Linked DNA regions of Elephas maximus indicus. The protein of the gene in region 1 interacts with the protein of each later gene in a pairwise test. Links are inferred from orthologs where the notes say so. Each region holds a gene or a part of one and is shown in the gene's direction. Other genes may lie near its edges. The genes, in order: TRIM63, USP13 and TNNI2.

What was found.
Region 2: the proteins of TRIM63 (region 1) and USP13 interact in a two-hybrid assay, tested with the Homo sapiens proteins (2 studies listed by BioGRID and IntAct). The link is inferred for Elephas maximus indicus from reciprocal best matches to the Homo sapiens genes TRIM63 and USP13.
Region 3: the proteins of TRIM63 (region 1) and TNNI2 interact in a two-hybrid assay, tested with the Homo sapiens proteins (2 studies listed by BioGRID and IntAct). The link is inferred for Elephas maximus indicus from reciprocal best matches to the Homo sapiens genes TRIM63 and TNNI2.

Annotation. Positions count from the first base shown.
Region 1 is NC_064821.1:66,565,814-66,569,561, reverse strand, and holds the start of TRIM63 (E3 ubiquitin-protein ligase TRIM63), read left to right. Parts: upstream 1-820; 5' UTR 821-931; coding exon 932-1,090; intron 1,091-2,483; coding exon 2,484-2,656; intron 2,657-3,748. UniProt on the Homo sapiens protein: E3 ubiquitin ligase. Mediates the ubiquitination and subsequent proteasomal degradation of CKM, GMEB1 and HIBADH.
Region 2 is NC_064819.1:35,280,054-35,283,801, reverse strand, and holds the start of USP13 (ubiquitin carboxyl-terminal hydrolase 13), read left to right. Parts: upstream 1-936; 5' UTR 937-1,220; coding exon 1,221-1,388; intron 1,389-3,748. UniProt on the Homo sapiens protein: Deubiquitinase that mediates deubiquitination of target proteins such as BECN1, MITF, SKP2 and USP10 and is involved in various processes such as autophagy, endoplasmic reticulum-associated degradation (ERAD), cell cycle progression or DNA damage response.
Region 3 is NC_064825.1:136,028,827-136,031,689, reverse strand, and holds TNNI2 (troponin I, fast skeletal muscle), read left to right. Parts: upstream 1-916; 5' UTR 917-1,127; intron 1,128-1,318; 5' UTR 1,319-1,324; coding exon 1,325-1,447; intron 1,448-1,571; coding exon 1,572-1,661; intron 1,662-1,775; coding exon 1,776-1,952; intron 1,953-2,089; coding exon 2,090-2,185; 3' UTR 2,186-2,260; downstream 2,261-2,863. UniProt on the Homo sapiens protein: Troponin I is the inhibitory subunit of troponin, the thin filament regulatory complex which confers calcium-sensitivity to striated muscle actomyosin ATPase activity.

The DNA of each region.
Region 1 (3,748 bases):
CTAGGAGACTCAAGAAGATTTGATGGAAGGATGGGGTCCCTATCAAGGGATAGAGGATGGGGACTCCAAGGTCTCCTGCAAAATGTTGTGCTCAGGTCCGAGGCAGAGGGATGGGCTCAGAAAGAGGGGCTCCCTTACCCCACATCTTGGGAGGTGCCCAGGACTCCAGAGAAGAGAAACAGGGCTTCCAACTTGGGGTTTGAACACCTATTGAGAATTTGCATTTCTAACAAGTTCTCTGCTGAGGATTTGCTTTTCCACCCCAGATACACTGAACCAGAATCTATAGTTTAGCAAGATCCCCAGGTGATTCTTATGTATAACTGGGTGGGGGAGGGGCTTGTTAGAAGTGCAAATTCTCAGCAGGAGTTCAAAAGGGACAGATCAGGTTCAAAGCCCTGAGGGGAAAGGACTTGATTTAGGTCAGAGGGTTTCTCTCCTGTCTTTGAGGGGGCACTGGCTATTAACCCCTTGAATCCTAATGGTTCGCTGGATGAGTCCCAGCCCTGCCTCCCCAGCCGGGGGTCGGGGGGAGAAACAATTTCTGGAGACAATTCTGAGTACCCATTCCCCCCTGCGGCCTGCCTCCGAACAGGCTGTTCTTGTTTACGACCCCCATCCTGGGAGAACAGCGATTGCTCATCCCCACGTGTGATTTGAGAGGGTGAGTCTTCCAGGCCTGGAGGAAACTCAAACCCCGGCAGCCAACTGGCATCGGAATGCTCAGCTGGTTCCCTCCCGGGGCTCATGTGACCAGGGTCCAGCTATAAATATCAGAGGGGCCTCAGCCCAAGACAGAATTCGGGCGCCAGAAGAAGGAGGCAAAGAGGCTCTGTGCGGGTGTTTTGTGACAAAGGCAAGAGCCCCAGGTCTGCCCATAGTTAGGTGCAGGCGAAGGAGGCAGCCAGGTAGGCCTATACCTACCGACAATATGGATTATAAATCCAGTCTGATCCAGGTTGGGAACCCCATGGAGAACTTGGAGAAGCAGCTCATCTGCCCCATCTGCCTGGAGATGTTTACCAAGCCAGTGGTCATCTTGCCGTGTCAGCACAACCTCTGCCGGAAGTGTGCCAATGACATCTTCCAGGTCAGTGCCCGGCATGGTCTAGTAAAACCCTTCTCACCTAGCCCAGGACCTTTCCAAACTGCTGCTGGCTCTGTCCCCTGCAAAATGAGTCCCCCCCGCGCCCCCGTGCAGAGGCCTGAGGACTCAGCTGAGGGGTGCGAGGGAGGCTGCTCTGGCCACTCCAGTCCTTCTCCATGACGCACGTTTCCCCTCTCCATCAGGCCTACAGCTCCCCCACCCCTGCCCTAAGCAAGGCAGTTGACTTTCCGATCAAGAGTCAAATGCCTCAAGAGATAAGTAGGGGAGGCAAGCGGAAAGGAGAGAGAAACCAGACCCCTGGGGCTGGAGCCAGCTCTACTGTGGCAGGGGGCCCAGAGCTTTGGGAGGAGGGTGGTGGGGAGGTACTGGACAGTAGAGGCATCTTCCCTTTTGAGGTTGGTCCCTGTAATCCTGTGGAGGGGTGGGGGTGCCCAACCGCCCTAAGAAAGGAACCAGAGTGGACCTTCTGGCTGGGAAGCGGGGATCAAGTTTCCCCAGGAGCACTTTACATAAACGCTCTTTCACTGTTTTATCTTCAAAGTAGCAACCCTAGGAGCTTGCTCTAATTATAATGTCCATTTCATGAAGGGGCATACTGAGGCTTAGATAAGGTTACTTGTTCAAAGTCACATGGAAATCCTGGTGGTGTAGTGGTTAAAGAGCTATGGCTACTAACCAAAAGAGGTCAGTAGTTCGAATCCACCAGGTGCTCCTTGGAAACCCTGTGGGGCAGTTCTACTCTGTCCTAAAGGGTTGCTGAGTTGCAAGTGACAACAGCAATGGGTTTGGGTTTTTTTTTTTGTTTGTTTATTCGAAGTCATTTATCGAATAAATGTAACTTGAACCCAGGTTCACCGATTCTTAAAGCAGGTATATTATCTTGTGTGGTTATTGATTGCTTAGTTGCTTCTCAGGTGCTCCATGTGTAAAATGGGCTGGTTCTCATGTCAGAATGGGGAGCTCCACGCAGGGGCCTATCTGTGGAAAACAGTGCCTATGGCAATTAGCCTTAAATTGTTGAATGATCTCTCACAGCTGGCGATGGAAACTGCAATGGCGGATGGCCAGTGGAATCAAAACTGCTCGTTAGCACCCTTCGTTAGCACCCTTCCTCAGGTGGCCAGTGGAATCAAAACTGCTCGTTAGCACCCTTCCTCAGGTGGCCAGTGGAATCAAAACTGCTCGTTAGCACCCCTCCTCAGGTGGTGCCCAGGGCACTGCCCTACCTACCATACCTTAGTTAGGCCTCTGGCAGGTCATATGGTTCGACAAGAATGGTTGGTGTAGGCAGGGGTGGGGACGGCTAACAGGAGATTAGAAAGGGAAAGGGCTGGCCAGGGATCCCAGGCCCCACCTCTGCCCTTGCCATCTGCAGGCTGCAAATCCCTACTGGACCAACCGGAGTGGCTCGGTGTCAATGTCTGGTGGCCGTTTCCGCTGCCCCTCCTGTCGCCACGAGGTGATCATGGACCGGCATGGAGTGTACGGCCTGCAGAGGAACCTGCTGGTGGAGAACATCATCGACATCTACAAGCAGGAGTGTTCCAGGTCAGCTGATCCTCCCACCTCTGCCATTCTGTACCAGCTCTCCCCGGCTGTCCTTCTCTTCCTACTTCCGCTCAGGATCCGGCCTCCCAGCAGTCCAGAGAGCCATTTCCTTCTGCCTGAGGAACATACGCCCCAACCCTGGCTCTCAGTATCAGTCAGTGAATAAGGAGGAGTCCAGACAGCAGGCTGCCCTTCTGGGAGATGCTGAGACAGAAAGCAAGGGAAAGATAAGACGGGAGGGGGAGAGAGAGGCACCCCGACCAGCTAAGCGGCCCTGAAAAGAGAAAGCACCCAGGGAGAATTTGGCCAGTAGTTACCCGCCGTGGGTCAGCAGGCACCAGCACTGGGATGCTTCTTCTTGGCACCTCTTAACAATCCTATGGATCGGCCACAACTTTTATTATCCCCATTTCACAGATGAGGAAGCTGAGGTTCAGAGAGGTGAATCCATTTACCCAAGGTTGTGGAAGTAGGTGATCTAGAAGGAGACACAGTTGATCTAGTTCCAAATCTGTTTATGAAAGAGCAGCTCAGTCTCAGGCAGAATTTGTGAGTGGTAGAAGTTACACAGCGTCAGGCTTCAAACCGGAGAGAGCTTTACATACAGTCAGGACATCCCGACAAGACTTCCAGGAGCCTGATCCCACAGCCCTTATGGTCCAAAACCTTTACTGAGCACCTGCTACTGGTAATGCCCTGCTGGAGGGAGGGTGGCAGACCAGGCCTGCTGAGAAAGAGCCCTGGCCTTTCTGTCTGAATCTGTTACTAATGCACTCAGGCACTGGCCTTTGGGCCTTCATTTCCCTCGTCTACAGAAGGGGACAGTGAGATCCGTTATTGTGATTGTGAAATAGGATATCGATGATTAAAAAAATACCAAATATTTATTAAGTACCTACTTTTTTTTTTTATGTGTAGGGTACTAGGAGCCCTGGTGGCACAGTGGTTAAGCAGTTGGCTGCTAACCAAAAGGTTGGTGGCTTGAACCCACCAGCCTGCTTCCGTAAAGATTTACAGCCTTGGAAACCCTGTGGGGCAGTTGTACTGTCCTATAGAGTTTTTTTTATAGAGTTGCTATGAGTCGGTACTGAC
Region 2 (3,748 bases), on another chromosome or scaffold:
CTTGAGCCTGGCTTGAGCCTATGGGAATCTAACAGCGGGCAAGTAAGGGCTCGCTCGTCTACTTCACATCTACTTCCAGGGGCCGCCGTTTTCTCCCTAGCGAAAACGGGCAAGTTGGAGTCAGGGAGGGTAAGAGAGAAATAACATAACGAAAAAAAGGAATTTAAGGACTATTTGGTTGTGGTTTGTTTCACTTCATTTCTTGCTATTTCTGCGTTTCCTTAAACGTCAGGGATCATTGGGTGCTCTGACCTGTAAGTACCTCGGGGGCGATCAAGGAAACTCAGTGGAACGGAACTCATGTTTTAAGGGTATTTTGGAGGCAATAAGGGCGTGCTGTGAGGTGTGCTCTGTTCGCATCACCTCCCCCCTCCCCCAGCCCAACCCCATTTGTTATTTATTTTAAGGAACTGCAAGAACAAGACAGGAATATGTATGTCTGCACATAGGGTCCCTTTTGAATGTTCGAGACCGGCACCTTGAAACTCGCCCTAAATGTACCAGAAACCTTTATGATTGCACAATATACCTCTATCTTCACTGTAACTTACCCTATTCTGTCTGAGCTTTGGATGTTAAAAAAGTGAGGAAAAAGGCTTAGTGAGGCAACACCGAAGTGCAAAGGGCAAATTTAGATTTGGGCCTGATGTTAGGTTCCAGATTTGCACATGGAGTGCCACCTGGACCCAGTCCAGTGAAGGCACCGCTCTTATCTTAAAAGAACTGTTTTTTAAAAACCCCTAAATCCTGCTTTTTGTGTTGGCTGCATCGAATTGCCCCTTTACAACCGAACTGATAGGAACACCGTGGCCCCGCCACTCCGCAGCTGCCGGCGTGGGCAAGGAGCGCCCCCCATGGAGCCCTCCTTTTCCGGGGTCCTCGTCCCCGCCCCCGCCCCTCCCGGCTCCAGAACCCAGGACCCCGGGGCTCGCCCTCCGCCCCACGCCGCCGAGCCCGCCGGGGCACAAGGCCTCCCTCCGGAGCCTCTTCCCCGGCGAGCTGCGGCTGGCGCTCCCCAGCGCCCCGCCTGACGCTGCAGCTGGGCCGGCCATTCGCTATTGGATTAAAAATAGCAACGTCCCCCCGCCCGCCCCAGTCCCGGGGGCCCGCTCCCGCCCCGTGGCCCGCTCTGCGAGCCCCGGCTGGGCTCTTGTCGCCGCTCGCCCGCCGCCGGCCACCCCGCGCTTCGGTTCCGCTGCGCTCGGGCTCGCCCCGCGGCCATGCAGCGCCGGGGCGCCCTTTTCAGCGTGCCGGGCGGCAGAGGCAGCAGGAAGATGGCTGCAGGAGACATCGGCGAGCTGCTGGTGCCCCACATGCCCACGATCCGAGTGCCCAGGTCCGGGGACAGGGTCTACAAGAATGAGTGCGCCTTCTCCTACGACTCCCCCGTAAGTGAGGCGCGGCAGCCGGCGCCTGGGGGAGGGTCGCGGTGCGGGCGGCCTGTGGCGCCCGCGAACCGCGGAGCTCGGCGGCACATGAAGCCGGGGGCAAAGATGCGCAGCGGCCGCGGGGACCTCCTCCTCCGGGCGGCGGAGTTGGCTCAGGGGCGCTGCAGTTGGGAAAATAGTGAACGCCTACTGGTGCCTGGCGCTGCGTTCTCCAAGGCTGCTGCAGCCCAAGACTGGGGCGCGAGAGTGGTTCGCTCCGCCAGCCTCTCTGGGCTGAAAGGGCCCCAGTTCCCAGCAGCCAGCCCACAGCCCCGCCATCGTTTGAAAGACCGAATCTAAGAGTTTCCTGCGCTTAACTGCACGTTGCAGATGGTTTGCTTCCTCCCCGGGGCGAGAGGGAGAGCGGGGGGCGGGTCGGTGGAGGCGATAGATTCCACCGGGCTCACAGCCCTTCCTGTTTCTGTGACCGCTTGCTTTGCCCAGGGATTCCCACTCCTGGACGTGCCAGATAACGCCCTCAGCTTTTCTTCCTCCACGTCCCATGTTCTCCCCACTCCTTTCCTTCCCGTCAGAATGTCAGAAGAAACTGTCGGGTGCTTCCACTCAGGCAGCAGAAATATGGGTCTGCTGGATTATTAAGGTTTTCTTAAGCCTTTCCCCTTCCACCTCAAAATGAGTCACTTGGATACGCTAGTATAAATTATTAAAAGTTCAATTCCAAGTCGTGACCTCAGAGACTGGAGGGGAAAGATAAGACCGATCAGCGCCTTCCACACAGGGCTGTTGGGGGTGGTTTCCACCTGGTTTGTGTGTGTGTGTGTGTGTGTGAAGGAGACAGAGGATGAATGCCCCTTTCAGGAGTCAAAATGGGCTTCAAAGTGACTCAGCTGTCTGGCGTTTATCATGTCTTTTTGAGGACCGGGTTATTTTTATCCACACACTTCAGAGCTCATGTGTCATGGAGCAGATCTCAGTGCTTTGGGAGGTGTGTTGATTGCAGGGACAGGCAGATTTCACAATAGACAAACACATTTTATTCATATTCTGTAGAGTAGTGTTGGGGGGTGACATAGGGGCTGCAAATTATCCAAAGCAAACTTTATTACCTTGTGGGCTGTTTTCAAAGCATTTTGTGTTTTGTTGAGATTACACGCGCGTGCACACACACACCCCTTGCGGTCGAGTCGGTTGGGACTCATAGCGACCCTCTAGGACAGAGTAAAACTGCCCCATAGAGTTTCCAAGGAGCGCCTGGTGGATTCGAACTGCTGACGTTTTGGTTAACAGCCTTAGCACTTAAGCACTATGCCACCAGATTAGAGTCCCAAAATTAGTATCTTCGCTGTGATATTTAGGTTTTTTTTTTTTTTTTTTGTCAGCCCCGGATCATTTTGGAGATAAAAATCTACTGTTTGTTGATTACTTTTTTCTTCCAAAAAGATTCATGTAGAGTGGAGTGAAATGGTTGTATTTAATCTAGTGATGATACTACTTAAAGCTACTGCGAGCAGTGCCATTAAGTCCTGTTATTCCCAATTATTCGAAAATGCCAATTTCAGATTTTGTGTCTAGTGTTGGGAATGGTTCCCACTGATTGCTCCTGAGAGTGAAGCGCGATGATGGTCCTAATTTAAGCAGCTGAGAGGTTGTGAACTCCAGGAATAGGGAGAAAAGCGGCCCAAGTCTCTTAGGATGGCACAACACGTGGAATTGGAAAAACGGCTTTCTCCGTATTTATTTTGGGTTGCTCTTCGTGTTCTACTTACCAACTTTGTTATCAGAAATCTTAACCACATTATAGACTGTATGGGAGGTTTGAAAAAAACTGGTTATTTTAATTCAATCCCACAAATAGTTATTGGTAGCATACTGTGTGCTGAACACTATTTTAGAAACATCTTGTTAAGTGTAATATGTTGATTCCATTCAAATCACATTAGTTCCTTTGGGGAGATTGGGTTTATTTACAAGGGCAGTATAATCATTATCTATGTTTCAGGGGAGGAAGAGGAGGAAGGTTTTGTAACAAGTTAGCTTAATGCACAGTGCCTGATAATGAGAGATCTTTCCTTATAAAATGCTTCATGAATCCAGTAAGGGTTTATGGAGCACCTACTGTGTGCCAACTCATACATGCATGAATATAAGAACCATACAGAGCAAAATCTTTAATCTATAACTACTTTGGAACTGTGGTAGAGAAAAAGCTAAAATCGATTGGAAAAAAAAAAAAACACTTCCTTGCATTGGATGCATTTGGAAAAGGTCATAGATAAAGGTGAAGTAAAGGAGACCAACATCCCAGCAGGAGAAATTACATGTGCAAACACATGAACTGTGAAAATTTTTTAATTTTTTTG
Region 3 (2,863 bases), on another chromosome or scaffold:
ACACCAGAGAGAGATTTTACGGGTCGAGGGACCCCCGGAGCTACACCCCCAAACCAAGCTGAGGAGCGGCTCTCATGCACTTCGGCCAGAAGCCAAAAAAGCAGGGGTAAAAATAGCCGAGTGGCCAAGCCACCACCTGCGCTGGCCAGTCCGGTGCCTCCCCCTCCCCCGGGGACAGCTGCAGCTCCTCCGGACCTTACCCTGGACACTCTCTTCTCTAACCCCCACCCTGGGGAATTCCAAGACAACAACTCCCTTCCAGGAGGTGGAGGCTGGGCGGGTGGAGGGGCCAGGGTGCCCTGTGGTGCCGCACCCTGCTGCCTCTAGGGGGCGGTGACCTGACACCTGTCCTTTCCCTCCCACAGGCTTTAAGCTCAGGACTTCAGGATGGGGGAGTAAGTCGTGTCCCCAGCCTGCTGCCACCTGCCCTCTCCCACATGCCCCCCCAGCAGCTGCCCCCACCCACCTCACCACCACTTAGCCCCTTCCCCACCACCCCAGCTCTGCCCCCCACCAGCCATGACCGTGACCCTAACCTCTCTCTTCTCTCTCCCCCCTCCCCTGGGACAGTGAGGAGGTGAGTACTTGCTTGGGGGGGGTAACACATGGAGGGGATGGACCCCCACTGGGGATGGGTCAGAGGTCAGAAGTTCAAGCCCAGGGTAGATGCCCAGCCGGCTCCCGACCCCTGCCGTGAAAATGCCCCATCCCACAGCCCCCCAGGACAGCACTGATAAAACAGAGGAAGTGGTACCCGGTGCCTGACGGTCAGGGGAAGTGGGGCTGCGGCCTGGTCCCATGGAGGGGGTTGCTTCTCCTTTCTGACTGCCTCCCCCCCCCCACCCCCCGGCCTGCAGCGTCCCCCGCCCCTGCTGCTGGGCCATTTCTCCTCTGCCCCTGCCTTTAGGAGCTGGACTGCTCCCTGGGAACAATGCCATCTCCACACTGCACTGTGTCCCTGAGCTCAGCTTTGGGAGACACCCACTCCTCTGCACAGAACCCCCTGGCTCAGAGGGGGGATGTAGGGGGTGGGGGGTGCTAGGCCTCGGCCGCCCTCACCCGGCTCCCTCTCCCCTGCCCTGCAGAAACGCAACAGGGCCATCACGGCCCGGAGGCAGCACCTGAAGGTACAAGCGGCAGTCCCGAGGGTGGCAGGGTCTGCTGGGGGCAGTGGGGTCTGCGGGGGGCAATGGGGGTCTGTGGGGGGCAGTGGGGTCTGTGGGGGACAGTGGGGTCAGTGGAGGATGGTAGGGCCCATGCAGAGGGCGGTGGGGCCCCCATGGCCAGCTGCAGTCCCTCACCACCCGGCTGCCGGCAGAGCGTCATGCTTCAGATTGCGGCCACAGAGCTGGAGAAGGAAGAGGGTCGTCGCGAGGCGGAGAAGCAGGCCTACCTGAACGAGCACTGTCCACCCCTGTACCTCCCCGGCTCCATGGCCGAAGTGCAGGTACCGCCCAGATGCTGCCTCAGTTTCCCCACTTGTCAAGCAGGCAGAGCCCTGTAGGGGTGGTCTGGGGACAGAGGCCGGGGCGGGAAGCGGGTGACATGGTGACTGAGGATCCCACCCCCAGGAGCTCTGCAAGCAGCTGCATGCCAAGGTGGACGCGGCCGAGGAGGAGAAGTATGACATGGAGATGAAGGTGCAGAAGAGCACCAAGGAGGTGAGGGGCTGCGGGCTGGGGTGCAGACACCAGACCCGGGCCAGAAGGGAGAGGCTGTGGGGGCAAGTGGGGGCTGAGTGCCCCCTTGGGTGCTCACTGGGCTCCCCTCTGCAGCTGGAAGACATGAACCAGAAGCTGTTTGACCTGAGGGGCAAGTTCAAGCGGCCCCCACTGCGGCGGGTGCGCATGTCGGCTGACGCCATGCTCAAGGCCCTGCTGGGCTCCAAGCACAAGGTGTGCATGGACCTGAGGGCCAACCTGAAGCAGGTCAAGAAGGAGGACACCGAGAAGGTACACCCACCCCACCCCGGGTGCCCCAGCACTGCTGTGTCCTTGCCCACCCTGGGAGCAGGGAGGGAAGGCCCAGCCATTCAGCTTACAGGGTCTGGGCCCCATGGTGGTGGACCTGAGCCTGTCCCCCACTCCAGGAGCGGGACCTGCGCGACGTGGGTGACTGGCGGAAAAACATCGAGGAGAAGTCAGGCATGGAAGGCCGGAAGAAGATGTTTGAGTCTGAGTCCTAGGCCGCTCACCTGGCAGGGCCACCTGCAGAGCCCAAGCCAGCTGGGCCCATCTCACTGGTCAATAAAGGCTGCACATCCCCATGACTGGTCTGGTCTGGTGCTGCCCTGAGTCACTGTCCCCAAGCTGCTGGCCACCTCCTGCAGCACGTTCTTGTCTACTGCCCACCTGGTGGGTCAGGCTGTCACCTCCTGGGTGCCACCTTCTGTGACACTGTGATCAGGGACGCGGGCCAGTTGTATGGCTAGGATAGGGCAGGAAGTCCTGTATGGCTGATGGAGCCCACCCTGCTGCTGGCTGGCTCCAGGAATGAGTCCCCGGCACTCATGACACTTTTACAGCCTAGGAGGGGGCAGTGGCCTAGGACTTACTTTGTCTGACTCCAGACTCGAGGACAGCCAGCTCAGGAGGAGACGGGCAAGCATGCCCCACAATGCAATGTGGGCAGGACAGACCCCCGACCCCTAGGCTGCCCCTTCTCCAGGAGCCACAGGGCCCCTGGCTGCTGCCCCAAGTGTGCCCCCACACGCACTTCCCTCTCCTGCTCATCCCCTTCCCCAGCCTTTTTGGGCCAACCTTTCCGCACCCCAGACCCACCGTGTTTCTGTGTCTGCCTACTGGCCTGGGCACTGAGGCCTGAGACGGAGTGAAGGCCTAGGCACTGAGCCCACACGGTGGGG